Linked DNA regions of Canis lupus familiaris. The main gene of each other region encodes a partner of the protein of the gene in region 3 in a complex. Links are inferred from orthologs where the notes say so. Each region holds a gene or a part of one and is shown on either strand. Other genes may lie near its edges. The genes, in order: HDAC2, BPTF and histone-binding protein RBBP7.

What was found.
Region 1: histone-binding protein RBBP7 (region 3) and HDAC2 share a complex: the UniProt entries of both Homo sapiens proteins name them as parts of the core histone deacetylase (HDAC) complex. The link is inferred for Canis lupus familiaris from reciprocal best matches to the Homo sapiens genes RBBP7 and HDAC2.
Region 2: histone-binding protein RBBP7 (region 3) and BPTF share a complex: the UniProt entries of both Homo sapiens proteins name them as parts of the BPFT-SMARCA1 complex. The link is inferred for Canis lupus familiaris from reciprocal best matches to the Homo sapiens genes RBBP7 and BPTF.

What each region holds. Positions count from the first base shown.
Region 1 is NC_049233.1:70,463,412-70,473,379, forward strand, and holds part of HDAC2 (histone deacetylase 2), read right to left. Parts: intron 9,016-9,968; coding exon 8,898-9,015; intron 6,932-8,897; coding exon 6,857-6,931; intron 6,256-6,856; coding exon 6,117-6,255; intron 3,518-6,116; coding exon 3,376-3,517; intron 1-3,375. UniProt on the Homo sapiens protein: Histone deacetylase that catalyzes the deacetylation of lysine residues on the N-terminal part of the core histones (H2A, H2B, H3 and H4).
Region 2 is NC_049230.1:14,276,311-14,286,278, reverse strand, and holds part of BPTF (nucleosome-remodeling factor subunit BPTF), read right to left. Parts: coding exon 9,879-9,968; intron 6,884-9,878; coding exon 6,704-6,883; intron 5,622-6,703; coding exon 3,326-5,621; intron 1-3,325. UniProt on the Homo sapiens protein: Regulatory subunit of the ATP-dependent NURF-1 and NURF-5 ISWI chromatin remodeling complexes, which form ordered nucleosome arrays on chromatin and facilitate access to DNA during DNA-templated processes such as DNA replication, transcription, and repair.
Region 3 is NC_049260.1:13,084,753-13,094,820, forward strand, and holds the start of histone-binding protein RBBP7, read right to left. Parts: upstream 6,459-10,068; 5' UTR 6,444-6,458; coding exon 6,296-6,443; intron 6,017-6,295; coding exon 5,872-6,016; intron 5,866-5,871; exon of another isoform or gene 5,466-5,865; intron 5,255-5,465; exon of another isoform or gene 3,835-5,254; intron 1-3,834. UniProt on the Homo sapiens protein: Core histone-binding subunit that may target chromatin remodeling factors, histone acetyltransferases and histone deacetylases to their histone substrates in a manner that is regulated by nucleosomal DNA.

The DNA.
Region 1 (9,968 bases), on a different chromosome or scaffold from region 3:
TTACAGGATTAAAAAACTAGGTAACAATATCAAATTCTGAATTCATCTGTTAGGTTAAGAAAGGAAATAATAGGGACCCCTGGGTGGCTCAACTGTTGAGCATCTGCCTTCGGCTCAGGGGTGATCCTGGGGTACCAGGATCAAGTCCCACACAGGCTCCCTGCAGAGAGCCTACTTCTCCCTCTGCCTGTGTCTCTAAATAAATAAAAATAAAATAAAAATAAATAAATAAATTAAATAAAAAAATAAAAATAAAATAAATAAAAAAATCTTTAAAAAAGATTAAAAAAAGGAAATAATACAGAGTAAGTCTATATTTCAATATTAATGGATTGCTTTATTAAGCTGGAAAGAATCAATTCCAATTAATTTGTAATGGTTATTTTGGGGAAAAAGAAACTTAACAATTAAAGGCAGTATTCTATTTGACCAAGAAATTAATCATGAACAGAATATTTAAGACATTATGGAAAACAGATACCCTGAGCCAAAGAACTGTGCAGGACAATTGTCTCTATAATGCAGAATCCTCCTTTGAAGCTCACTTCATGGTATAAGTTTATTTATGATGAAAGAAAAGTTCCAACTGTCCTCAAGTTTTGACAAATGCAGACTGAAGCACCAAAATCTGCTCTATAATTGGGCTTGAAATAAAGTCTTATTTCTACTTGTTGAATAAATACCACTCTTGATATTAATATTCCCCAAAGTAAGAGAAACTGAGAGCTGGGTCCAGCAACATATACACACACACGCATTTACCCTAACACTGCATGTACTATGCATATACATTATGGACGTGCAGATGCGTGTAAATCTACCTATATGCGCTCACACACACACAGAATTCCTAGAAGAAATGGTACAATACAAAAACTGCTACAAAGTAAGTTCTTTTTCTAAAAAAACATATTTTATTTATTTATTTGAGATAGAGCAAGAGAGAATGTACTGGGTGGGGGAGGAGGAGTAGGAGAGAAAGAAAGAGAAGCAGGCTTCCCGCAGAGCAGGGAGCCCGACACGGGGCTTGACCCTAGGACCCCAGGATCATGACCTGAGCCTAAGGCAGAAGCTTAACCAACTAGGCCACTCAGGTGCCCCCAAACAGTTCTTTAACTGCAACACGAAAGGACTGGTGGTGGCTGATTCTTACATTCTTAAATTAAGTCTCAATATATGTGAATCTTTAGGATTACTAATGCTTTTTTACAAGTCTCCCCTTCTCTCTCATATAATGATTGAGTTTGATTCATTTTTAAAAAGCATAGTTTAGGGACGCCTGGGTGGCTCAGCGGCTGAGCCTCTGCCTTCAGCTCAGGACATGACCTCGGGGTCCTGGGATCGAGTCCCACGTCGGGCTCCCTGCATGGAGCCTGCTTCTCCCTCTGCCTGGGTCTCTGCCTCTCTCTGTGTCTCTCATGAATAAATAAATAAAATCTTAAAAAAAAAAAAAAAGCATAGTTTATCCTTCAACATTAGAGTTATGATCCAAATTCCAATGAAGAAAAAGGAAGTGGAATTACATATCTCCCGCAACAATTTTTCTTGAAGAAACCTAAAATGTTTAACTAAATACAAACCATTTAGATGTTGATAAACTAAAGCACCGTGAATCCGTAAAATTCTGCACTTTAAAAAACTAAACTCCTGGGACATACTTTGACAGTAAGATTTCAGAATACAGAAAGTTGGTCAGCACTTCTCACTCTAACCAAAACCTGGCGCCTCAGCTGCTCCCTTGTTGCACCAAGCTTTCTCCCTTCCATTTCTTATTCCTCAACTGCTGCTTTACCATATCTTTTTCTTCTACTTAAAGACTCCCAATCTAATCGATACAAGCAATGTTAACAATGATCTAAGCTCAGAGTAGCTTTCTTTTCTAATTTAGAATGAACCGGAAGGTAGAAAAGGGAATGTTTATTAACATCCAGAGATACACACAAGTTTTATGAAATTCCAAATAGAACTCCATGCATAATAGTTTTGATTTCCTTATAAAATTTTAGGGACACCTTTATAATAACTAAAGAGAAAATATGCTGACATTTCCCATAGTAAGTACAAAATCTTTAGTGAATAAAAGAAATATTGAAAGTCATTCTATAATCTTTAAAAGATACCCACTCTCCAATATGTTCCAACAACTTTAAACAATAAGAACACTGTCAGAAATTAAAACAGAGGCCATGTTTTGCCATTTTTGATTATACTTAAAAGACTTAGTTTAAGCTTAAAACTGCGAAGGTTTTTGCTGAATTTCTACCGGGTGCAACGGCTACAGACAAAGGAATTCTACTGGTTAGGGTAGTGAGTGGTTCTCAAAGTTTAGTGCGCAGAATCAGTTCCCGAGGCCTGACAGGATGTCCCCAGGAGATGCCGATTCCGCTTGCCTAAGGCTCATACTCTAAGAATCACTGGTATGTAAGTTAGGGCCAAGCGGAGAAACGCACTGACGGAGCTAGCAGGCATGGAACTGAATATACAAATTTGCAATTTTAGAAGCCACATAATTTAAACTCCAACAAATTAAAATTAAATGACTGACCTTCTACTCATTTTAAGATTTCACCATCATGACTGTTACTGAAAGAGCACCATCTTGTGGTCAAATAAAGAAAGCACATATTTGAAAAATAAGGCTACTCTTCAAAATATTAGTTGCTAAAATAAGCTGTAATACATACCACAGATCTGAAAAATAACCTTAATTAGAAAACTCTGAACTAATATTGAATGCCACGATAAGAGAAATTTCCTATACAATCCAGGATGAATTTAAAAAGTCATTTAAATCTTTGAATAAATTTTCAACATGCAGGTAGGTTGGGTCAAGAAAAGCCAGTGAAGCAAAACTACCGGAGGAACTTTGTACAAACAAGATGTGACCAGTGGTTTTATACTCATAAAATAAAAGAGCACTAAATGGGGGGGGGGGAAAGATTAAAGTAAGACCTATTAAAGCAAGACTAATCATAAAAGGGGGGGGGGGTAAATACAAGAACCTAAAATAAAATAGACTTAGTTCTATTTTCATCCACCAATCTTTACAATCAACAGCAATGCTGGCTACTGTGAAGTAGGTTTTGAAGATCCAAATAAACATCAAGAAAACTGCTTCTGTGCTTCAAGGATGTTCAAAAATAATTATTCGACCAAAGAAAATGGCTGAGCAAAAGTCCTCTCAGTTCTCACTAAATTTTTGCCTATAGTCAACAAAAGTGAATTCTAGCAAATGTTATATAGCATATAAAATGACTCAATTCTGCATATAAATTTTAAATGACTCTAGAACAGTATTAGTTTAGATATAGGATTATTATCTTCTTCAGTTCTAATATTTATATCATATTTATTCAGATAGAAATTCAGTCTTACCCTCAAGTCTCCTGTTCCAGGAAAGTACTCCCCATATTTATGGAATGATACAGTCATTACACGATCTGTTGTGTAAAAAGCTTCTTCAACACCATCACCATGATGGATATCAATATCAATATATAACACTCTCTGATGATACCTGAAAATAAAGCATCGGTTAAGTTTTTTTTAAAAGGTTTTAAATGAGAACCAGGTTCTTCTGAAATGGGTTCAGAAATATTTTCGAGCTCTTCCATTTCAGAATGTTGAATCCTTTCTCTTAATTTCCAGCCTAAGAGACCATTCAAACATCTAAAGTTACAAGACTGAGCCTCCGATCTTCAAATCCTCTCTTTAGCCCCAATCTAGGTAAGAAAAATGTACTTACTCTCTGTGAAATCTGTCCAGTTCTATATGTTCTAGAAACATACTACCAGTTCCTATAATATTAACAACTGAAGATTATACTGCACTTACAGGATGGATGATTACTTTAAAACGTCTAATAAATTTTCAGTATTATAAAACAGTGGTTGGCAATCTACAGTTCATAGCCCAAATCTGACCAATGGAGTCTTTTTGTAAACCTTGAGATTAAAACAGTTTTTACATTTTTAAATCACTGAAAAATAAAATTAGAAGAATATTTCGTATGTGACAATTTAGGGAAATTCAAATTCCAATGTCCATAAATAACGTGTTACTAAAACACAGCCATGCTTATTTGATTATAAATGATCTATGGCTTCTTTTGTGCTTGCAACTGCAAGTAGTAGTTGTGACAGAAACCATCTGGTACTCTCGTCCCTTCACGGTGCTGCCTGGAGCACTAAACACTGCAGCGGTGCAGTTACAACTCAAATACATTTTAAGGCCATGTAGATCACCATACCGTGACATCCCATTACCAATACATACCCATATCAAAACAAAAGGAAATGAATTCTGAATTTCATCCTTCTATGGCATAATAATGGAGTATTATTTTGTTATTGAATAAAATGGCAGAGCATTGCATGTTTATTATAGAAGGATACCACCACTATGCTAAAAGAAAATAAACAAACTGATATCAGACTAAGGACCCTGATAATATCCTCAACTCACAGGAAAGCACCATTCAGTAAAGAAAAAGAAAAAAGCACGGGCCACCTGAGTGGCTCAGTGGTTGGGTGTCTGCCTTGGGCTCACGGTGTCACCCCGGGGTCCCGGGATCGAGTCCCACACTGGGGTCCCCGCAGGGAGCCTGCTTCTCCCTCTCCCTATGTCTCTGCCCCTCTCATGAATAAATAAAATCTTTTTAAAGCAGAATGTCTCATTATAGATTTTCTTCACAAAAATAAGAGGTGTTAGCCAAGTAAATTTCTGAGTGGTTCATAAGTGGCTTATCAACAGCCAATTAAATCATGATAGATCACGTCAGTTAAAGAAATATGTCTAGAGGGATCCCTGGGTGGCGCAGCGGTTTGGCGCCTGCCTTTGGCTCAGGGCGCGATCCTGGAGACCCGGGATCGAATCCCACATCGGGCTCCCTGCATGGAGCCTGCTTTTCCCTCTGCCTGTGTCGCTGCCCCTCTCTCTCTCTCTCTCTCTGAGATTATCATGAATAAATAAATAAAATCTTAAAAAAAAAAAAGAAATATGTCTAGACAAATTAGGTTAAGCTTGTTTAAGGGTCTACGCAGTCAAGAACCACTGCTCAGAGACGGAGACACAGGAACCACACCAACAGTTGGTTGAATTAAAAACCAAGCAAATAGGGGATCCCTGGGTGGCTCAGCAGTTTAGCGCCTGCCTTGGGTACAGGGCGTGATCCTGGAGACCGGGGATCAAGACCCGCATCGGGCTCTCTGCATGGAGCCTGCTTCTCCCTCTGCCTGTGAATCTGTCTATCATGAATAAATAAATAAAACCTTAAAAAAAAAAAAAACAAGCAAATAATTTCAAGTGGTTTTCCTTGGCTCTCAAGGAGTTAACTGAAACATTTTAGCTGTTTATCTGAGGCGGTAATACCAAATTTTACACTAAGAAATTAGCCTCAAAAAAAAAAAAAAGAAATTAGCCTCAATAAACAATATGCATGGAATAACTACAGGCAAGAATATTTTTTGATACTGACAAAAAACTCCTTCACTACAATCTGAAGTGGAATCTATTAAGACATGTTACAACTGATAATGGTTAAAAAAAAAGAGAAACACCTTTGTAAATTTCCAAATTCTAATGTTCCTCTATAGATCTCTCCTTCAAACTGCAGTCGGGGATCACTGTAAATCTAACTCCTTTAGTAATTTAGAGATAATTATACCCATTAGTAAAGAACAAAGCCCCATTCCATGTGGAAGCTAGGCAATTAGCTAGATTCATCAATAAACAAATTTCCTTTAACACAAGTTTCAAATTTCTGCCTTCAAAAGTTAAAACTTAGAAAATGTTAGAGCATAAACTTCCAGAGTCATGTCATCTTTCATTAGGTGAAACTGTAACTCAAATCTAAAACACTGAACGACTCTTAGGTTTTTTTAAAAGGGTATATTTAATATGAGTTTTATAGACATGTATGTGCATTTCTCATGCTTATTAATTCAAGGAATGGGAAAATGTTCTGTATTTCTACATTGGTTTGTAACGAATCCATAGAAAACTCAGCACTGAACTATTTTTCACCCACCATTTCCTTGATATTTTTTAAGTCATAGATTTATATCATTTTAATTAAAACTTTTCCATAAGGAAAATATCAACATAAATTAACTTACTTTAGTAATTCAAGGATGGCAAGTACAATATCATTAACATAACAGAATCCTGATGCTTCTGATTTCTTAGCATGATGTAATCCTCCAGCCCAGTTAACAGCCATATCAGTTTGTTGTCGGTTTAACTTCACAGCACCAGCTAAAAAAAATACAGGGTAGACTTCAAAAGTGTTTAAAATAAAAAAATTAATATAACAAGACAAAAGCCCTATAGCAAAGAGTATGCCACGTATAAGTAAGAGTTTAAAATTACAAAAAGGATCATTGTCTAGGACACTAACAACAGTTTCTCCTTAGGTAAGTATTATCCTATAGCGGTGATCTGATTAAATAAGAGTATATATGGAAAGTGGTAGCCAGAAGAGAGGTAGAGGAGAGAAATCTCTAAGTGAAAATACAAAAGTAAGGAACCTAAAAAAAGTTCAAGTCATTACGATCATAAAACATGGGGTTTATTTTTAAAGAAAGAAATCATTACTTTATTTCGTTTTTAAAAAGTGAGCTCTGTGCCCAACATGAGACTTGAATTCACGACTCCCAAATTGAGGCATAAGCTCTACCACTGAGCCAGCCAGGTGCCCCAAAGATGGGGATTTCTAAAGACAACTGTACTAAAAACATACAGATCACTTTTTAGTATCAAAATCCATCATCACTAAAACGCTTTGCTTTAAACAGGTAAACCAGGAAGATTAATACCAAGTTTAAATCAATCTTTAGATCTGAATCAGGACACTTACCAACTGAGCCACCCGTTGAGAGCTGGCAAAACTCAAAGAGTCCATCAAACACTGGACAGTCTTCTCCAACATTAACTGTGAAAGACGGATTTCAGTTACAATCCATTCTACGAATTAATGAAGTTTTTTCTTACAAAAACTATTCCTTACAAATATTTTTATATGATGTAATCACGGATCACACATCACAGTATAAATCTAAAGTTTGCTATTTAAAAATATAATTAATCATTTTATCCAAGGTAATTTCAAGGGTTATATGTAAAACATCACCACCAAATCCTACCAGGATAATTTGTAGAAAATCTCAGCTCTATTATCAGAAGATCAATAGCCACCAAAATATAAAAGGTATTTGAATTATTTAAATTAAAACACGCACTTAAATATTAGGCATTTCTCCTAAAACATACAACAAATTAATCAAGGTTCTAAAAAACTTAAAAAACTTTAATTCCTTTATGATTTACTTTTTCTAAAACTCCTTAAATGCACAGAACATCCATAACTTTGAAATATATTTTAGTGAGTACTAAAAAGACAAAGCAGCTGGCTGCCTACCCAATCTTAAAGGATGGTAAGAATTAACTAGGTTCGGAGCAGCCAAGACATAGAAGGAAGGGGTAAAGCACAAGGAAACAACACGGGTACATGACACATTGCAATATATTTAGTTCCTCAGTACTGACAGGATTAAAGGGACATATTATTTATGTACATGACCCATTCGCAGCCTCTTCCCACCCCAATTATAACCTCTTCAAAAATAAGGGTAATTATTTTACATAGCTTTGTATACCTTTAGTTTATTAGCATGATAATGAACAGCTTTTAGTTTCTTACTATTTAAATATAATCATAATCTTAATATAATTCAGTATTATGTATTAAATCAATCCTGTTAATTCATTTGCCCTATCTACACAGGACTTTTAATCTAAGCCTGAACCTGTATCCAAAAAAAAGGTATAAAAAATATGTTCTACATGCATTATAGCATTTTATTGAGTAAATGAAATAATCTAAGGTAGAAATGGGTACAAAGTTCTATGAATGTATAACTTATCAAGCCACTACACCTAATTTAGTATCTGAAATTGTTCTTCTCAAAAAAAATCACTGAAGTGATTTTAAAATCATTGTTATTTAAACATTTTACAGCAAATATTGCTTTTTTTTAAAAGATTTTATTTATTTATTCATGAGAGAACAGAACTGCTGATGAGAATGAACTTCAGTATCATGCTTTAAAAAAAAAAACTGTTTCAATCATTTTAAGACATTTCTCATTCCACTTTCAAGCCAGGCAACCGCTAATAACAAAACACGTATCTATAAAAGAGAGTATCACGTAGAAGAAAATCAAAATCAAAATCACGTAGAAGAAGCTTCACTAACAAATGGAACAGATTATGTATTAACAATCCAGATTAACTAAAACACACAAAGAGAGGTAAGAGATCCGTACATACACCAAGCTAAGGCCAATCCAAGTAGACTTTTTTTTTTTTAAAAAGGCAGGGAAGTAAGGTCTCCCCACCAATACCCATCATCCCCAAGGTAACATGGGACCAAAACAAAGACTAGAGGAACATCCAGACAGCTCTTGGGCCGTCTGGCAGATGGATATCTTAATTATCCTTATTCCCAAGAGCTCAGGCTTCGGGTAGATTTTGTTTTGGGTTTTACGATTTTCTTTCCTTCTTTCTGGGAGAGAAAGTGCTCAGGTCCGCGTGAGGGCGCACCCACAAGCAGGGGGAGAGAGGGACCTGACTGTGCTGGGTGCGGAGGCCGACGCAAGCCTCGAGCTCAGCATCAGTGAGTCAACTGAGCTACCCAGGCGCCTGGTTTTTTTTGTTGTTTTTTTTAAAGCAGTTTTAGTATTTTTAATTTTTACATTGACTTTTCAAACCAGTAATTAACTAAGGAAGTATCTTCCTCAGGCGGAACACCTACATGTGGATATTCTAATGATATGCTTCTAGAAAATACTCACTGATCCTTAGTAAGATTAACATAGACTTTTAACATAGAAACGTACATCTCTGCATCTGCTTACTATACTCAGACATGTTATCTGGTCTTATTGAACGTAGAAATTTGATGTACTCATCACTGTGGTATTTTGTCATTTCTTCAGCAGTGGCTTTGTGGGGCCTCTGTGAAGAAAAACAAATGTCAGAATGGTGGAGCCACAACTGGTTACATCAGAGTCATCAAACACCACGTACACAATTTCCCCTAACAATCCTCTCAGAAGAACTAGCTCTGCCAGAAAATAAATTCCAAAGTGAATCCAAATTTATACGTGTATTTCTTAGAAATGAGTAATCAATTCCAAAGCTAATTCCTACTCCTTTAAAGCCATTAGACAGGTCTGACCCCAATTATACATTCCTTTTATTGCAGTGGAAATGGGTCAATGCTTATAAAGTTGAATCTGTTCAGGAACTCTCACTTTCCATCATAAACCGTCTGCTCTGTATCAAGTGAGACTGAGACTCAAGCTCAATTTTAAGTCTTTGTTCACAATCTCTTCCTTTCCTTTGCCTATCCTAATTATCCTTATTCCCAAGAGCTCAATTTCATTTTTAACACACTTTTCCCAGGAGGCTTCCAGAAAGTATATAATCCAACCCCTCCTTTCCTGTAAATATTTGTTATCTGAAAAAAGTAACTCATATATACTCAATACTAGTAACTGTTTCAAGTCTTTCTTTTCTCCCCAAACAGGCAAGAACTGTGTCTTGCATTTGTTTACATATACTTCCACATTAGTGCAAAAGCACTTAAGGTAGGTGTATCCTAAATGTTAGCTGTACTGTACACATCCACTAATACACTGCTCCATATGTCAGTAAGTATTTGTAGAATTTCCTACATAATTCTTCTGTAATAGTCAACTCTTCAGCAGCACAGCCAAGTAAACCACTATTGCAACAAAGATATTTAGTTTGCTAAACTGAGTTGTTGGCCAAAATGTGAAAAGGTGGGATATGAGAAACTTTTGAAAAATGGTCGAGTAAGAGGGTTAAAAACCATTCCCACACTGTTTTCTCTGAAGATTAAAACAAAAAGAGTTTGTTTTCTTCCAGAGTTTGTTTTCATCTGC
Region 2 (9,968 bases), on a different chromosome or scaffold from region 3:
TAATTAAACACTGTTGACATTTCCACGTACTTAAATAAACACACTTGTTTACATATACAGAAAATCTATAAAACTAAAATAATTTCCTCCCCTAACAGAGGTAGAAGGTAAACCTTAAGACAATTTGTATTTGAGAGGCAATGCTTTCTATTCTGAACATTAAGCTGGGAAAATGAACAATGTGAGAAAGGGAATGCTCCAGCCAGAAAATTGCAGCTGCTTTTCAAATCCCCATCTCCACCTGTGACACCAAGATTTCCTTTGTCGTGCTGTCGCCCTGTGAATCCTCTGACCTGGAGTACAGTTCTTAAATGGGAGGGTCAATGTTATCTAGTGCAGGGATGTCCCAGGAAGGGGGAAAGTATGTGTCATGTTCAGACCACACCCCATAGAAATGCCTAGGGAACTCTGAATGCCAAATGGATATGTATTTTGGAAGAGAAATGTTTCTCATTCTCTCCCTTCCTCAGATCACTCACTACAGCTGAACAGCAACTTCAATGCATCTTTGTTTTGCAATGGAAACACCACCAAGTGGGGAATACACCAAAAGCCTATTTGTTCATGTATTCATTCAAAAAATACTTGAGTGCCTTCTATATGTGTCAGACTAACTGAAAGGAGCTGGAGGCAGGGAAATGAATTATAATCTGCTCTTATATCCTCAGGAGCTGTCAGAGAAGCATGAGGAGCACATGACTTGGCTCTGGGATGGGGATCAGAGCTTTGCTAGAGTCTCAGAGGACAAAGATTGTGGGAATAGCCAGGGGCACACACATGTTCAGAAGGAAAGTGTACAACAGTACACACCTCTTCCCAGAAACCACATCTGGTATGCTCTGACTGCAGGGCAGGGATGTGGAAGCGCAGCAAGAGACGAAGCTGCCATGAGAGAGGAGGGCAGAGGCAGAGTGTGCAGCACCAAATGGAAGGATAAAAGAAGAGCGTTAAAGGCAATCTGCATTAAGGCCTCTGAGACTTATCCAGAATAGGATGAGTTGTAAAGGGAAATACTTCTCAGAGACATGGTGCACAGGTGACAGACGCTCTCCTCCTCCCAGGCCTGCAGTTGTAGTTCACACTTTGAAGGCTTGCTCTGCTCCGTCAGAACATTCACAGGATAGATTTGGCTTTTAGGAGGATTATGTGGCCAGCACTGTGAGACAACTACTGGTTCAAAGTGATAATGAAACACAGAATCAGGGCCCAGGAAAAAGGAAGTAAGGGAATGGACAGTGTGGAGGAAAAGAGAGGCCTAATGGATTGACAAGACAAGTTTCACTTTTCACTACTGCTCAGCCTTAACATTAAATTAATAAATATCAAACATGCACCTCCTGGCATTCTTAGCTTCTACTCTAAGCATCAGACAGATTTTTTTATTTTCAAGTGTGAATATAAAAATGCATTTCACATGCATGGTTTTTATAGCAATACACTTTTAAAAAATGCATTCTAAATCAAGAATACTTTACATTATTTACCCATGCCCCTGTTAGATACAAGGGATTATGTTTCCCTCAACTTCAGCAGATTAAGACGTTAGCACGTATTTGACAGCAATATCTGTTTAAAATGTACAGGAAGGTATCTCCTTCCATTAAAAAATGAGAAATTAACTAAACAGATACCAACTGTGCCCACAGTGCATATTAAAACATAACAATTCAAGGCTCCTGAAACCCAGCCGTGCAGAAAAGGGCCCTGGGCAACACTTGATCGGAACTGGTTCAGAGAAAAGTGCTTCCCAGTTGAGCCTACCTTCCACTTCAGAAAAGGAAAGCGCAGAAAGGTTGGCCTCCACCACTGCCAGGTCATTTTAGTTAAAGTATTTGTACATAGTAACTTTTCCAGTGGGAAAGAAGTTACCTGCAGGACAGTCAAGGATACACTTTGGGACCGCTCTCAATGAAGAAAGCAGAAAAGTGCAGAGTAATCCTATAAATCCATGAACTGTAATGAAGAGTTCCTTGATTCCCTGCAGGATTCTGCAAATCCTTCATTGCAGGCCCTGCAGAGAAATTGTACTTTTCAGCTGTCTCTATTGAATGTGTAATGGAGTGATATTTTAATTCAAATCAAAAGATGAGTTATAAAAACCTTGGTCAAACCAATTGTGACTGGTCATATTAATAAGTTAACTCCTTTAGAGAGAGTACTCATTTACACTTTGTTTTGGTTTTGTTTTATAATACTGGCTAATTATAATATAAAAGAAATAAAAAAAAGGCATGGTTTTAACTTAAAAAAAAAAAAAAAAAACTGGAACCATAGTAAAGACACACAGAAACGAAGCTTAAAGTGAAATGGAATCTGTTCAGTCACTTGAAGTAACTGCAGCTTCCTATCAAAATCTAGCAGCCATCAAGACTGTTCCTGACTCACAAGCATGCCCCACAGAACTCTTATGTTTTCAGTGTTTATGTTCCTCCATCCTTTCGAGTTGTGAGGGTGAAAAGATAAAAAGACAGGACATGAAAAAGGACAAAGCAAGGACAGATATGTGAAATGTGATATAGCAGAATACAGTACTGGACTGGGGATTTAGGAAAACTGGGCACTATTCCTAACTCTGTCCGTCTGTGGCCAGAGGTAACTTATTACACATCTATAAAAGATAAGAATTTCTAAGATCCTTTCCCAAAATGAAACTACATGATCTTACAACTGCCAACACTATGTACTTATGACTCATCCCCAAAGCTTAATGCCCAGAAAATTTTAAATTAAGACTATTTCTGGGTTTTAAAAAATCCCTAAGGAATCTCAGAGACCTCTCCTCACATAAATAACAGAGAACTCCAAAACAAATGTTTATCATGCAAATAAATTATTTTAGGAAGATTTCCACATTATGATGAACTCGGTGTGATTCACAGGCATGTTTCCTATGTCTTATGTTTCTATGAATTACCTAATAGAAATAAAATACAAACATTCCAGAAAGTGGACTATCCAAGTCTCTTATTCTCATTCCCAAGGCAAACACATGGCAATAACTCAGAAAGTTAAACCACAAAACCAACTATATTTGACATGTTTCTTCTGTCTTGAGGAAAGTAAAACTCAATTTCATTTTAAAGATTTAGATCTTTTCAAGTCTCTTAACATTTTCCCCTAAAGTTTTACCCTAAGTAAACTTGAGTACCTCCCAGCCAGCCAAATTCAAGATTCTCTGTTATCTTATTTCCATTACTAACCTGGCTTATTAAATTTCTGCTTCCCTCTTATTATCTCATTTTTTTTCTGTAAAAAATGAGATATGCTTACTCAAAAATGCTTTTAAGACTTTCTCCCTTCCCCAAATACATTTTAAAGTACATACCTCCAAGTGATACCAAAGGTTGGTCTAGGAGAAGGATAAGGCCATATGTCCAAGGCAGGTTTTGCATTGTAATTAAAATAAGGGACTTCTCGGATTCCTCCTTTCCTGGCCAACTTTTTTAAGTCATCATTAGGTAAAACAAATATGCTCTTCTTGCTGCTCTTGGTGACAAACTTTCTATACGATGGCAGAGCTGTACCTGAACGAGTCTTCTTGGGTCTTGAAAATTTCATGAGTTTCACTTTATCTCTTGTGGAATACTCTTTGCTCACGGTCATAGATGTCACTAGAGTGCCCCCTGCAGTGGTCAGCGAATCTGTCACTGTTGTGGTGACCACAGTTTTGCTCTGCTCCTTCACAGAGATGATGTCCACACTGCTGCCTGTGGAGGGTGTGGATAGCTTTGTGACTGTTGTAGTGGTGGTTGTGACAGTGGACTTGGCACAATTTTCTGTGGAAGAGACCACAGTCTGCTTATCCCCTTTTGCTACTTTGATTACAGTTTTTGATTCTGTGGCCACCGTGGATGTCATGGTGGTGACTTCTGTGATAACTGTTTTTCTCTTAGACTCTCCGTTGATATTTTCATCTCTGTTGGTGGGCAGACCATTTTCATCAACGAAATCATTACTGAGGTTAGATTCCTCTCCAGAAGTAATAGGTGAGGGAGTAACTTTCTTAACTTCTGAGGTTTCAATTTCCATATCTTCTACCTGATTTGTTGAACTGTTTTCTGGACAAGACAGTGGAGGCATGGTCTCAGACTCTTTGGTTGATGGCAGGGTGTCTAGGCCATCTTGGTAGTCGCATGCAGCATCTGAAGATCTCAGTAAACGTGATTTTGTTTCCAAGTTGTTTTTTTCATTAAAATCTTCCATGATGACATCGCCATTCATGAATGGCTTTACAGCAGATTCTTTAACAGTCAATGACTTAATATCATTTTCAGGAATTATTTTATTTATATTATTAAGCTTTGATTCAAGATCACCACTTGCTACTTTACTCGCAGAGATTTCTTTCAAGGATTCCCCTTTTAAATATGTTTTGGGTTTATTATCTTTTCCATTTATTTGATAAGTACTTGCTTTCTGTCCTTTCTTTTCAGACTCTCTATTTTCATTATTCTTTCTGTCAGTGCTACTTTTTAGATTGATTTGATCAATACATTTATTAACTGATCTCTCCTCTAATTTCTGTTCTTGACTTGGCTTCCTACCATTTGCTTCAGTTACCTTACCCTGTGGTCTCTTATAGTTGCTAGTGGACTTATCTGGAACAAACTCACGTTTCAATGGTTCCAAGCCTTCAATACCTTGTTCTTGAGTTACAAATTGCTCAGAAAGACTTTCATTGCTATTCTGAACAATCATATCTTCTTCACTGCTGTCCTGAATAGACATAGTATCAGAACTATTTTCCAAAGTGCTGTTATATTCAGAGATACATCCTAGTTTTCCTTCAAAGTCTACTGCTTTTGACAGAGATGGGGGATCTCTATCATCAGTACTTTTAGGTACTGATGGAAGTGAAGGGCTCTGGGAAGGAGAAACAATGGTGTCATTATCCTCCTGTATGAGTGTTTTTTTGTTCTTATAGATCAAAGTACCAATTCCATCTGCACTGGCTAGTTTGGAGTCATCAATGAGAAAGTCACTTCCTCTTGTTTTAACCTTATTAAGTTCCTGGCCTTGACTGGTAGGTTGAGAGAGACTCTCATTTATGTCATTTCCAACAGAATTCTGTTTCTGACAGTTTGTCTCTGGGCTCTGAATGGAGATGTCATCTAACATTTGCTCTTTTGGATAAAGTCTGTTTGTTGTATGATCAGGATCATTGATTCTAAGAATTGAGGAATCGCTTTGTGAACATCCTCGAATCACATCTTCAGTTTTACCATTACTTGTGTTAGGGCTTTGTTCTTGTCTAAGCGAGTCACTTTGACACCCTTCTTTTGCTTTTGTTATTACTGATGATTCAGAAAGGCTTTTCAAAGAACTTGTACACGTCTTCCCTATACCCTTAATTCCACCCTCCAACTTCATTTTCTCAAGGCGCTGTTTTTCTTCCAGTGTAAACTGTTTAACTCTCCTTTCAAGAAGTCCATCTAGTTTGGATGATTTAATTTTCTTTTTATAACTAGTCCTTAGATGGAAGCCCTCACTGACATTGACCACATCTACTTGAGAACCTTCCTGACAGTTTATATGCGGCTCTGTTTTCACATCATCATCTATCTCCATTGGTTCTTCCTTAAAGGGTTTCTCATTGTCAGAATCTAAAATTTCTTGTACATCTGTGAAACAAACACATTTATGTAAGTGCTAACTTTTAGTCTCAAATGTGGAATTCACAATATTTTTATTTTAAAAACCACCAATGTTTATTTTCATTTCACTCACGGGGCTTCAGTGTAAATATACATATTTGAAAGCTCCTGATACATGATTAAGATAGGTCAATGGACAGGGCTAAACTTTATAAAAGGTTAAAAAACAGACATTTTGTAAATATTTAAATACTCTGATTCTTAGTATCTGAAGTTGGAATGTTAAAAGAAAAATTACTTAGCATGTGACAGTTACCCCATACTCCAGTACCTTCATGGAAAATTTTATGTAAGATATTTCATAGTCATAAAATATCTTAAGGCTTATACATTATCTAGCTTACCTAGTTTTTAAAGAATGACTTTTCACAAAAGACAGTATAAGTTCCTCAGAAGGCTGGACACAGAGTTATTAGCTCATGACCTGGGATTCCACTACTAGGTCTTTACCCAAGAGGGATGAAAACATATGTCTACATAAGAACTTGTACAAGGATGTCCTTATCAGTATTCATAATAGCCAAAAAGTAGAAACAACCCAAAAGTCCATCAATTGATGAATGGATAAACAAAATGTGGCACGTCCATACAATGGACTATTATTCAGAACTAAAAAGGAATGATAAAATGCTGACATATGCTATAACATGGGTGAATCCTGAAAACATTACACCAAGTCACAAAAGACCATGTATTACGTGATTCCATTCATACAGAATATCCAAAATAGGGCCAATCCATAGAGACAGTAAGTAGACTAGTAGGCTGGGGGGATTTAGGGAGGATTAGAAACTGGGTACTAAGGAGTATGAAGTTTATTTTTGGGGTGGTGAAAATGTTCTAAAATGGACTGTGGTGACAGCTGAACAGCTCTGTGAAATACTAAAAACCACTGTACATTCTAAATGGGTTAGTTATATAGTAAATGAGCTGTGATTCAATAAAGCTGCTATTAAAGAAACATAAGGCAGTACCTCTCCTGCTGTGCGAACCAGATCCATTACAATCTTATCACCCCCAGGCTGCCCTCCACACCGGACTCTCCTTACCTTGGTCCTTCTTCTCAGTAATCTTGGAAACGTCCATTTCACTTTGGTCTGCCCCTTTTGCAGCATCTGAATCTTTTACCTCGCCTTTCTCAGAATCAGGCTCTGTTTTTATTTTTTTTGGACTCCGTGGACTTTTTCGTCTATCTGATTCATCCATATTTTCATCCACATTATTTTTGGCTAAAAAGAATTGAGTGTGTGTATATATATATAATTATAGGTATTCTGAACATTAGCAATCTGCTTTAACAAATCTAGTTCAGTGGAAATTATATTTCTAGCAATCTATACTGTTTTCTATTAAAAAAATATAAAACCTGAAGATAGTATATACTTTCCTAACATGCTCAACTGACCTAAAGCATAAGAGGAATGAGCACATTTTAGATGTACTTCAGGATCTTTCATATATGACACTATTTCAGCTGCTCAATGACTCCACAAAGTCTACATCAGTGTTTCTAACATACTTTATATTAAAGAACCATATTAGGAAAATAAATACTTAAGTATTTTTCACCCAGAGTCCATGGATAGACTTCAAGGCTATCTAAGAGCCAGTGAAATTAATTACAAAGGTTTGTTTGTATACTTTTTTTTTTCTGGGTAGGGAATCACTGTATTTATCATAGATTAAAAGAGACTTCAGAGAAATAACCAAATGCAATGTTTGGCCTTGTCTGGACCTGATTTACTACCAACATTAAAAGGGCATCTCTGGCACAACTGGGGTAACTAGAATAGTAACTGAGAATCTCAAGATGGACATGTTAAATATTGTTAGTGCGTTGAATGGTAATGGCATAATTTATGGAATAACCACTCCAATCAGAGATATATGCTGAACTGGTAGATAACATAATTTCTGGAATTTGCTCTAAATACATAGGGGGGGAAAAAAACTCCAGAAAAAAAGTAGATTATTACAACTAATAGGAGAATGACAGAAAGATGATGCTTTTTTACTTTCGTGTAGTTTCAAATTTTCCGTAAGGTAAAAAAAAAAAAAAATCAAGCCCATGATACAGAACTATTGTCCAGGTGAATTTTCTTGGGCCTTACAGGCATTTTCTACCTTTTATTATTCTCTTCACTTGATCCCAAATATTCCAAGGACTTAGCAATGTGTACCTACTTCTTATTTAAACAAATGACTCCTTCCAGAAAGATCTAGCTGAGGGAAGGGAAAAGAGTGCAAAAAACTTGGTATCTGTCAAGACAGTAGGATACTGGGGAGAGAAGAAACGAATCATAGAAAACAGTGATAGGATGTGTCTGGACCCCACAAGTAACAAAAGGACAAAAAGTAAACTGATACTCTCCTTATTCAATGCTTCTTTAGTTATTTCAGAACAACTGGGCAATATTTTTTCAATGATTTCAAGTTTCTCAAAAAGAGCTTTATATAATAGTAGTTCCACCTAAAAGTTTTAAGAACCCAGATGCTTAAAATAGACAATTATAAAATACTTGGGATGTCTTCTCCATTAAAGATCTTCTAGACATAAAGACAATTAATATCCTTTGTTAATCTTGCACATCAGTACCTTTATTGACACTTGTAAACTAATAAGCTAAGGCATTCAGTCTGAGTTAGAATGGAGGTTAGAAATAAGTGACGCAGTCAAACAAGCTGAACACTCTAGTCTTCTGATGCTAAGTCAAGGTTCCCTGAAACGCATTTCTGTTTTCTCCAGCACATCTGTGCCTCTGTCATATGATCAGATTAGGTTAATCATTATTATAGGGACCAATAGTTCTGAGATTATAAACTGGTGGTTACGAATACTAATGCCTTCACTGTAATTCTTATTCTATACTAACACATGCATTGCTACCACTGGAGAGGAAAAGGGCTCAAAAGATGTTGTAAGACCAACTTGGTACCTGACTGGATAAAGGCCCAGAATTTGGACAATAGAAACAGTATGCTAAGGAAAGTGGATATGAGATAAATCTGCAAAAACCTAAATATTTTGCTTATTGATAATCTGGATTTTATTACACAAGACAAAATAAGTCAGATATAATTAAACAAAAGCTCTCTATAATTCTATGTGCTATGTGGGTAGCTGGAGCAACAAAATGGCAATAAAAAATGTTAATCTTTTAGAATTTATTATAGTGGACATTTGGCTTGAATATAATCAGATCACAATAATAAAATTTAATATTGAATAGTTCTAGTTGGCAAATAGAACAATTCACTGAGCATCTATTATGTGCAAGACATTCCTAGTCCCTATAAATTCCAGTGACAGTTATGAAATAATAAGTATTTTTCCATTAAAAAGGTAATCCAAAATGATAACTTTATCACATCAATAATTTCAAATATCTCAACCAGTCCAGGATTCAGCAGAACCATTCACGAAGAAGCCAAATTAGTTAGCTAGGTATGTACACAGTACTCACTATAGCGTAGACTTCATAGGAAAGAACACATCACACCATACGTTAGCAAATTACACTGCACAGTGAGCAGAACTGCTTTTGAAAATAACCAGGTAACAAAAAAGTGATGGCAATGTAGAGTGCAAAAAAGGACAGTGGGAGGGACAGTGGGAGCGAGGAGACAGATTCCAGAGTTCTATCTGTGTGAACTGTACATAACTTCACATCTTCATGAAATAATCTACTCATGGAATGTGAGTTTCAAAACAGATGGTGTCTTAATAGGGCAGTTCCCCTCTAGAATTCTGTGACTCTAAATATATTAGTTGTTAGCGAGTAGCACAAATGGAGTTAATATCTCCCTCATTTATGTGGAAGTGTTTACAGAAGTCTCTATCACCTCCTTTCTGGTTTTGTAATGTGCTACAACATCAAGATTACCAGATAGGTGGTTCCTTAGGAAGTCAAGTAATACTGAATTTAAGATTGTAGAAAAACAATTAGGTGCTGAGGCCTTTTTTCTTTTTCTTTTTTTTAGGAAGTTCTATTCTATCATCTTTCTTTAATTGAAATCCTAGTTATAAATATCCTGAAAAAAAAAGTAATTTAAAGTATTTGAGCTTCTTATTAATAAATAAGCTACATCGGTAGTTTTGCATGTTCTATTAAAAATTCCAGAAAAATACTTTTATCCAAAAATATGGTCAATGCACTACAAATTTATAAGAAATAGTACAAAATCAGAAATTATGATATAGAAAAAATAACTTCAATTACTTACTTCCTTCTAATGATTTTCTGTAATTCACATTAGTATTGCCTGGCAACTTAGGAACAAACCTATAAACATGAGTTTTACTAATCCAGCTCC
Region 3 (10,068 bases):
AGACATTTCTTTTTTTTTTTTTACACTAGACATTTCTAATTTCCCAGTAAGAGGCAACAAGTTTAAGCACTGAGCCAGAAAAACTGGGTTCAAATCCTGGCTCAAACTAAAATTAACAATATGCAATTCCCTTTTTTTTTTTTTTAAGATTTTATTTACTTATTCATGAGAGACAGAGAGGCAGAGATACAGGCAGAGAGAGAAACAGGCTCCAGGCATGGAGCCCAATCCCAGGGACTCTAGGATCACACCCTGGGCCAAAGGGAGGAGCTAAACCTTTGAGCCACCCAGGGTGTCCCAAAATATGCAATTCCTTAAAACACAATTTCCTGTGGGGCCTAGTTTCTTCACCTAAAAAACAGGTTATGTGTGCAAATAGCCTGTGAAAACTTTCTATTGATGTTCATAGTGCTTAAAGTTTATGAAATGGAGATTCTCATTTTTATCGGGGGAGAGGGGTCTTTGTTGTTACCTTTTTCTATGGACCTAATTTTGAGGCTAAAGAACCCACTGATGCTTCTTGACACCCTGGTTTTGCCTCATCTATTTTTTTTAAAAAGATCTGTAAAATTTATTTATTCATGAGAGACACAGAGAGAAAGGCAGAGGGAGAAGCAGGCTCCCTGCAGGAGCCGGATGCGGAACTCAATCCCGGACCTGGGATCACTCCCTGAGCTGAAGGCAGACGCTCAACCGATGAGCCACCCAGGTATCCCTTGCCTCTTATCTTTTAACGACATTTTCCCATTTGTATTATTTAGAATAGCAATTTCCACCTGTGCTGTATGGTCCCACCTCAGTGAGGGCCAAGATGTAGGGCTCTGAGCCCCAACATCAGACAAGTTAGGCTATTTATCTGTTTCTAAAGTTTGTTTTACAAATTTCTCTTTTCTTTTTTTTTTTTAACATTTTATTTATGACAGACAGAGAGAGAGATTGGCAGAAACACAGGCAGAGGGAGAAGCAGGCTCCATGCAGGAAGCCTGACGTGGGACTCGATCCCCTGACTCCAGGATCACATCCTGGGCTGAAGGCAGCGCTAAACCGCTGGGCCACCGGGACTGCCCAGTTTCTAAAGTTTGGTTGTACAAAGGATTCAGTGGTTTTTAAAAAAGGCTTGAGGGTTGCTTCTACGAATATAATTTAGTAGTAACTGAAAAAAAAATACAAGATGAAATTTTGCCAAAATTAGGCTTAATGTAAAAAAGAATAAATATGTATACAACTCCAAGAACAGAATAAGGCACCCGTGTCTAAGCAATAGCTTATTTAAAAAAAAAATACAGGAGTCTTAGTCAATGTATGTTCAGTGGTCAAGAACAGGATATGGCTACCTAAACAGTTAATTCCATCTTAGATGAGAGAGAGGGAGGCAATGCATGTGAGTACTCACCCACTTATTTTTATTTATTTATTAATGAGAGAGAGAGAGAGAGAGAGAGAGAGAGAGAGAGAGGCGCAGAGACACAGGCAGAGGGAGAAGCAGGCTCCCTGCAGGGAGCCTGACACGGGACTTGATCCCGGGACTCCAGGATCACACCGAGCCAATAGCAGACACTAAACCCAGGGATCCCAACTTATTTTTAAATGGAAAAATAACAGAAAATTAGGCTCTAAGCAATGTAACTGAGGAGGACTTAGACAAAATGAAATCTTTGTAGCTCAAAATGAAAGGGAACTTAAACACATCTCATTAGAACCATTTGAAAATTTAAAAAAAAAAAAAAAAAACCACTTGAAAAGGGGGCAGCCCGGGTGGCTCAGGGGTTTAGCGCCACCTTCAGTCCAGGGCCTGATCCTGGAGACTAGGGGTCGAGTCCCACGTCAGGCTCCCTGCATGGAGCCTGCTTCTCCCTCTGCCTGTGTCTCTGCCTCTCTGTCTCATAAATAAATAGAATCTTAAAAAAAAAAAAAAAAGAAAAAGGAATGCTTGAGAGAAAGGAAGCACCACAAAGCAAGGTTAAGGCTAACATAAAAGGAAGAAGTATTTTATTAGGGGGTTAAACAGAAAAAAATAGGACCTTTCTAAGAAGCCCGGTCCCAACATGGATGGAGGATCTGAAAAATTCCTTGACTCTAAAATTCAATTCAGGTATCCCCCGTCACAATAATCATGTAAGGATTTTTTTTTCTTTTTTACTGGCAATCCTTTCAAGTCCATCATTAAAATACAAACTTATTTTCCTGAACCAACAATATTACAGTATTTTCCTCCAATGCTGAATGCACCTAAAGCTGCAGGAGCACTAATGTTAAAAGACCTTGTCCATTTTTCAGTGCCAGCATCCTTTGATCAATCACTTAAGACTCCACGGCTAAGAAAGTCACCTAACAATCACAGATTATCACAAGATTATTCTCAGTAGCATTGTCTTAGTGGAAAAAGACTGATGACAACCTTTAAATATCTATTAATAAAGAACTGGTGGGACACCTGGGTGGCTCAGCGGTTGAGTGTCCACCTTTGGCTCAGGGTGTGATCCTGGAGTCCCGGGATCGAGTCCCACATCGGGTTCCCTGCATGGAGTATGCTTGTCCCTCTGCCTAGGTCTCTGCCTCTCTCATGAATAAATAAAATCTTTTTAAAAAATCTCTAAAAAATTTTAAAAAGAACTGGTGATATACATAATAGTATATTCATAAAGGGAATTCTATGGAGCCCTTAAAGCAAAAGAGCATATCTAAGCATGCTGATAGGAAGTCTCCAACATAAACTACAAACTGTAAAGTCAAGTGAGTAACTTGCTATCATTAAAAAAAGATTTAGGGGAGGGGTGCCTAGGTGGCTCAGTCAGTTAAGTGTTTAATTCTTGGTTTCCGCTCAGGTCATGATCTCATGGTCCTGAGATCAAGCCCTGTGTCAAGCTCTGCACTCAGCAGGGAATCTGCTTAAGTTTCTCTCTCTCCCTTGCCCTCTGCCCCTCCCCCTGCTCATGCACAACCAGTTCACCCAAAGGGGGGGAGGGGGGAAGAGAGAGAGAGAGAGATGGAGGGTAGGTGTGTGTAATGTGTATATACACTTATTTCTGGCAGGATCAGTTAAAAAAGCCAGCCAAAAATGACTCAACTCTGGGTAATAAACCAGGAGAACAGGGAACATGGAAGGGAGACTTATTATTTTCTCTATGTACTTTGTACCATCTGAATTTGAAGGATTACAAAGGTTTCTAAGTACAGAATAAGTTAGTCTCAAGATGTTTAAGAAATTATTTAATAAAAAATATGGAATAATGGAATTACAGATTAGAAATACCTAAATAAAAAATTTTTAAGATTTTATTTATTCATGATAGAGAAAGAGAGAGAGAGAGAGAGAGAGGCAGAGACACAAGCAGAGGGAGAAACAGGCTCCATGCCAGGAGCCCGACGCGGGACTCGATCCCGGGACTCCAGGATCGCACCCTGGGCCAGAGGCAGGCATTAAACCGCCAAGCCACCCAGGGATTCCCCCCTAAATAAAAATTTTTACAAGGCAAATCCACCATGTGGACAATTACCTAATTTAGTTTAAGGACAACAGTTCAGAAAGTGCAAGTAATTATTGGGAGGTATGCTCTATGTAGTATGTAGGTAAAAGCCTCATGAGGTTGACTAGCATCACATTCCTCAAAGACCCTGGGAATAAGAGTAGCCAACATCTCCGGTGTTCCGTATAGTAACAAAACACAATCACAGTCCCTTCATACTCCAAGTAGAATCCTGCAAAAGTACCACACAGCCATCCTCAACATCCAAGAATGCAGGCTGGCTGGCATTTTCTTGCATTCCCAGAGCAACTGCACATCCCACAACCAGATCCCACTTCTTTGTATGCAAAGAACACCACGGAATACATCATTTAAAGTATTTTTTGTTAAGTTCTTAAGTGTTAACATAAAAGCAGTATTGGCGGGGGGCTGGCGGGCTCAGTAGGTGGAACATGTGACTCTTGATCTCAGGGCTGTAAATCTGAGCTCCACGTTGGGTGTAGAGATTACTTAAAAATAAAAATCTTTTCAAAAGCAGTATCCGGGCTAAGAACATACACATTTAACATCCTTAAAATTGTTACACAAAACACAGATAACATTTTCAGAAGACTTGAATAAGCAGTTTTCACTGGAATCCAAATGGAGAAACACAGTTACTACAGTCTAATTATTTCTGAATACAAAGGGGGAGAAAATCAGCATCAGTCACCACTTATTGCGGACTTCTTCTGTGCCAGCACTTTAAAAGTGCATGATCTTATTTCATTTCCTCAAAAGTAGGCAGTCAGAAGCACCAGCACCTCCACTTACAGATCAGACAGCTTGGGAATAGAGACTGACCAATGTGCCCTAATTTAGCTATTAAGAAGCAGGCGGCAGGATTCAAACTCAGGTTTCTAACCTTAGAGTCCTAAACACCTCCGCTGTGTTCTGCTGGTAAGGTAGATCAAAAAGATCCAAAATAATGTAAATTAAGCTGTTAAAGGTTTTAATTTACTTAACAGGAGTGCACAAAGAATCAAAAGTACATGGTGCTCAAAGGAGAACCTGAATACCCTTAAGTATTTGATGTTCAAAATTGTTATGTCAGTGTTTTGAAGTCTGTTTTTTATTTCTTGGCTATTCTTATCACATCTGTGTATTTACACTGATTTTGGGGAATCCTAATAAAAGCCTCTACCTATATGGAAGACAATGTCTGCATATGGAGAATTCGGCCATTAAAGGAGTAACCTCATAGAAAATTAACTTGCTCTTATTTTCAGAAATTGTCTCAAAATCCCCTTCCTACGTTAGTTTTGTTAATCCTCATTAAAAATATATGTTCACAATACCCAAATTAAATACTTTTAAAGTACACAGCCAAGTTCCTACTAGAAAAAGTGCAAGCGCTTAAGAAAGTCTAATAATACAGGAGTTGCCTCAACTCTGGGGTACCCGGTTTGGGTTCAAAATCCCACTCCACCACTTGCTGGATGATCCTGGGTATTTTAACACCCCCACCCCAGTTTCCACAACAGTAAGACAAAGATGATAAAGAATAATCATAGTATACTTTTTCATAGTATAATTCTGAATATTAAACAACTGGACACAAAACTGTTGAGATGTGCCAGGCCCTATTTTAAGTGTTCAATAATACCAGCAATTATTACCAGAGAAATTTTAGAAACGGCTGAAAAGAACCAACAGCAACCTCCAAGTGTATTCCACACTATCAGCTAGTAACGTCTTTTCTTCAGTGAACTACTGCTAAATTCTTTTTTCCCTTTGTCAATTAAAACCTATTCATATAGGGATCCCTGGGTGGCGCAGTGGTTTGGCGCCTGCCTTTGGCCCGGGGCGCGATCCTGGAGACCCGGGATCGAATCCCATATCGGGCTCCTGGTGCATGGAGCCTGCTTCTCCCTCTGCCTGTGTCTCTGCCTCTCTCTCTCTCTCTGTGTGACTATCATAAATAAATTAAAAAAAAAAAAAAAAAAAAAAAAAAAAAACCTATTCATATAGTGGTGGCTGGTTACATGGATGTGCTCCCTTCGTAAAAATCCATCCAGCCATATGCTTATGATTTGTGCATTTTTCTGTACGTGTGCTCTTTTTCAATAAAGTTTTAAAGAAATCCATTAGTCTGGGTCCCCAAAATGCTGCTCTATATTTAATCCCAAGAACTGTTAAATTCGTTAGATGCTCCCCACAAATATCATTAATCGCACTTTGTCCCCACGCTTACATATCAAAAACCATCCCATAAATCACTTGTTTTGAAAATAAAAATCACCTGCCACCTCATGCAAGGGCTAAATTGATTACACGCTCATGTTCTATGTGTAAAATGCCAAAACTAGGAATTTCGGGATAATAGTCAAATTTATGCAAAGTAAAAGTTGCCAGAAACCCTTACTTAGTCACTTCAGGAAGCCACTGAACGGTAAGACTCGGCCACTGAAGAGCATGGGTCATAACCAGGTCATACAGAAACGGTGTATTCTTCTTCCAGATTTTATATTCTTCATTGATGACACGCTCCTCCACAGTATCTTCAAACACTGAAATTTGGAGAAATCCCACACAATTAAGTGGCTGAGAGAAATCGAGTTAGAATCTGTACACAGATAGTGGAGGTCACCTCGAGATGGCCACACCTAATCTACTCCTCAGCTTTACGTTTAATTTGGACACGAACTAACTGCTCTTCCAGAACGTGAGGAGAATATTAACACCAGGAAGCTTATTTTTTGCACTTAGAAATCGATACTGCTTGCGTATACAGAATTGGGCAATTACACAGACGACGATTTTGTTTCAGCAGTTACAGCTGTTCGCACCTGTTCTAAGATGACGACCCATCTGTGCAGGGGCTCCACGACCCACCCCGGGAGACGAATCCACGTGTAGCAGAAACCCCTCGGCCCGCTCCCTCCATCCCCCACCAGGAGCGGCCTCCGCTCCCACGAAGCCCGCGTCAGCAGCCATAGGCCGGCGTGTGCCAGAATCCCCCGGACAAGGGCCGCGACCCCGAAGCGGTCGACGCGCGCGCGTGGAAGGAGCAGCCGTGTCCGCTTTCCGGTGGCGGAGGCCGCCTCCGCCCGAGAGCCAAGGGCGCCGGAGGGAGCGCCGCCGCCAGAGGGGGGGGAGGGGAGCGGGGGGGGGCAGAGGGGGAAGGGGGCCCAACCCGCGGCCCCGCGCCCGGCTCCGGAAGTGCTCGGAGCCCTCCGCGCCGCGGTCCCGTCCCGCTGTAGGCCCCTCGAGGCGCGCGCCTAGCCTCGCGCCCGGCCCCGCCCCCTGCTCCTCACGCCAATTCGCGCCTTTCGCCGGCGCGTGCCGCGGCCTCGCGCGCCCGCCGCCCCCCGCGGTCCCGGCGCGCGCCGCCCCGCAGGGCCTCTTACTCTCTTTACTCGCCATCTTGCGTCGGGTCGTTCGCCCCTCGCCGCCGCCTCGGACTCCCCTCGCTAGCCAACAGCAGCCCAACCGCAGGCGTTCCTGCCTCGCCCAGGCGCGTCACACACTTCTAGCTCTCGAAGCGTGAGCTCCGTCTTACGGCCTGGGTGCTCCCCAAACGCTGCGTCCTTCTCTCCTGCCTCCTCCCCGCTCGCGGGTACCGAGGTCTGAGGCGCTCTTCTCTCTCTCTCCAAACTTGGAACGAGACTTTTCAACCCGCGCCTCCCAGCCCGCCCAGGCAGCTGAGCGCAGGCGCATCCGCCCTGGGAAAAGTGAGAGGCGGTGGAGAGGCGGGCCTGGGAGCCAACGGCTCGGTTGTTTCAACCAATGAGGTGCGGCACGCAGGTTTCACGCGGCATTTGTGGGCGGGCTTCTGGGGGTGGGCGGGGCGTTCCGCGGCAGGAAGTTGGCGAGGCGCAGGCGCGAGGGCTCGCCCAGCGCTCCCAGGGCCGGGCGCGGGGGCGGATGGGGGCGCGCGGGGGTGGGGCGGATGGGGGCGCGGCGTGCGGGCTGCGCGGGGGCTGTGAGCCCCGGGGCCGCGGGGCGTGGCTGCTTGCAGCGGCCGTGGCGGTGGGGTGGGAGGGGGGCAGGGAGGTTGACGCGGCTTAGCCAAGCAAAATCTCAGAGCGAGAGGAAAATGGTTTCTAGTCTCGAGAGATTACTGTGCCCTCAACGTCTCCCGGATAATCACGGGCATGCAATTCTGTGTACCCTGAAAGGCTTCCCTCTAGTCGACTGGCTTTTCCCGGGGTCCGGTCGAGCTGAGGTGGGGTTCGTTGCAGGCTGAGGAAACCTTTTACAGAGGCCGCGGGCGTTTTTTGACTGCTAAAGCCGAGGGGCCTCCCTGTTAGGCTAAACTTGCGGCCTGTTACTGGCACAAGGCCTCCGACGGCCCGAAGCTGACTTGAATTACACTGTTTGTTTGCACATTTGGGTCCTTAAAATGATTTGCGGCCTCTCGAACTGCAGAGAATTTTGTCCCTACGTTCTTGTCTCCGTGCTGGCCCCTGCTGAGTCATTCTCGTCACCCGTGGGGGTCCCAGGGCGACCCCACTCCGCGATGGCTTAGCTGGGGACAGCTGCCCTATGCGGACCCGGGATGGCTTGCTTGAGCCCTGCTTGCCTTGAAACTTGGTAGCCCCTGAGGAGTGCGTGGGGGTGAGGAGAAAGTGAGCTGCAAGGCCAGGAGGGCTGTGAGGGCCAGAGGGTACCGGGTGGGAGGACGTGGCCGAGATGCCTACGCACAAAGAGAACCTCAGTGTACATCCAGATTAGGAGAGAGGCTCCCTCTGCAAAAGCACCCGAGAACATTTGGTACCTTGATATTTTCCAAGTGCTTTCACAAGAGTGACCATGGTGATCCTCAAACGAAATTGTTCAGTTGCCGCTGTGATGCCCACTTTTCCGATCAGAAAACAAACTCAGCCCTTACTCTACTTGGTGGCAAAACCAGTAATATTACCTTATATAGAAATTTACTGTCTGATGTGTCTGCTTTACAGTAGGTTACAGTTCATTATTGTAACGCTCTGCCTTCATGTTAGGCCCAGGAATCTTGTTAGGGACTAAAGCTGTGGCGGGGCAGGGCAGTGGGGGTCTCGGCTGCAGAGGAAGGAGGGTTGGAAGGGTGTTTAAATAGCACAGCTCTCATATTCTAGAACACTGGGTGGCAAACGTTTTTCTGATGGGGGCCAGAGAGTAAATATTTTAGGTGATGGGAACAACTACTCAGCTTTGCCACCTTACAGTGAGAAAGCAACCTCAGACAATATGGATGAGCCTGGCTGTACTACAATAAAACTTTATAATAGACACTGAAATTTCATATAAATAATTTTCACTGAATTTTCATATAAATTTCACGTGCCACAAAATAATCTGATTTGTTTTTCAACTACTTTAAAATAGAAAAAACATTTTTATCTCGTGGGTCATACAAAAACTGGTGGTGATTATATACCCAGAGGACTCTAGTTTGACCACCTTGTTCTAGAATAATTGCCTTAATGGCTTTGCTTCAGCGGGAACATCCTCATGTGCATGGCAAGAGAAGGCTTGGCAGACAGGTTTGAGGCTCCCTTTAATTCATTTTATTTATATTTGATGGGTATGCATGATTTCCAAAACCTATTACATGTGTAAAGGGTTGAAAGAAATCTTCCCAGACATTATGGCTTTATAATCTTTATATTGTCCACCTCACTGAGGGTCAGAGGTGGAAGTGTGAAGCAGATGTTTTGGGAGTTTCTGAAAATATGCAGGCACTGTCATATACTTCATCCAAAAGTATCATTACAACATATTTTATTAGCTTTTAGGTAGAATCTGCCGATCCTTTTCTCTAATTTTTTTGGTCTTTTTTTTTTTTTTTTTTTCTAATCAGGTACTTTTTTGCCTCCAGAAGGTAATACATTTTCCTTCAAATTGCTAAACTTTTCGATTTTACTTTTGTTGTTCACCCCAACGATTTAGCTCTGGTCCCAATCTTTTCTCCCACTTTCTCTGTGTTTTTGTCTCTCTTGCACTCGGGTAGGTCTGCTAAATGAGTAAGACACCAGCAGGTGCATGCATAAAGAGTCCTGTTTAGGTACCTTTCTCTAAGACTGTTTACATCAAAGTTACTATATTATTACCCACCACTTTGTCGATGGGACTGTGTTTTACAGGCTAGTATACTTGTATTATAAACCGAAAGAGGGACGCCTGGGTGGCTTAGTGGTGAGCATCTGCCTTTGGCTCAGGGTGTGATCCCAGGGTCCTGGGATGGAGTCCGCATCAGGCTGCCTGTGGGGAGCCTGCGTCTCTCTCTGCCTGTGTCTCTGCCTCTCTCTTTCTGTGTCTCATGAATAAATAAGTAAAATCTTTAAAAAATAAAAAAAAATTAAAAAAAAACTGAAACAAGTTACACTGAACTCTGCTGACCTTTAATATGTGTGACACAGTCTGGTATTTTATTTCATTTAAAAAATATGCAGATTACCCTGTACATTGCATTTTTGCAATCACACTTAGTTACAGCTTAAAGTTTGGAAAACACAGACAGCTAGGTTATTTTTGAAGCAGCTGGCCAGTCCCTGACTATCTTTTACAGAATAGCAACATAACGGGGCGCCTGTGTGGCTCAATCAGGTAAGTGCCTGGTTTCAGCTCCAGCACAATC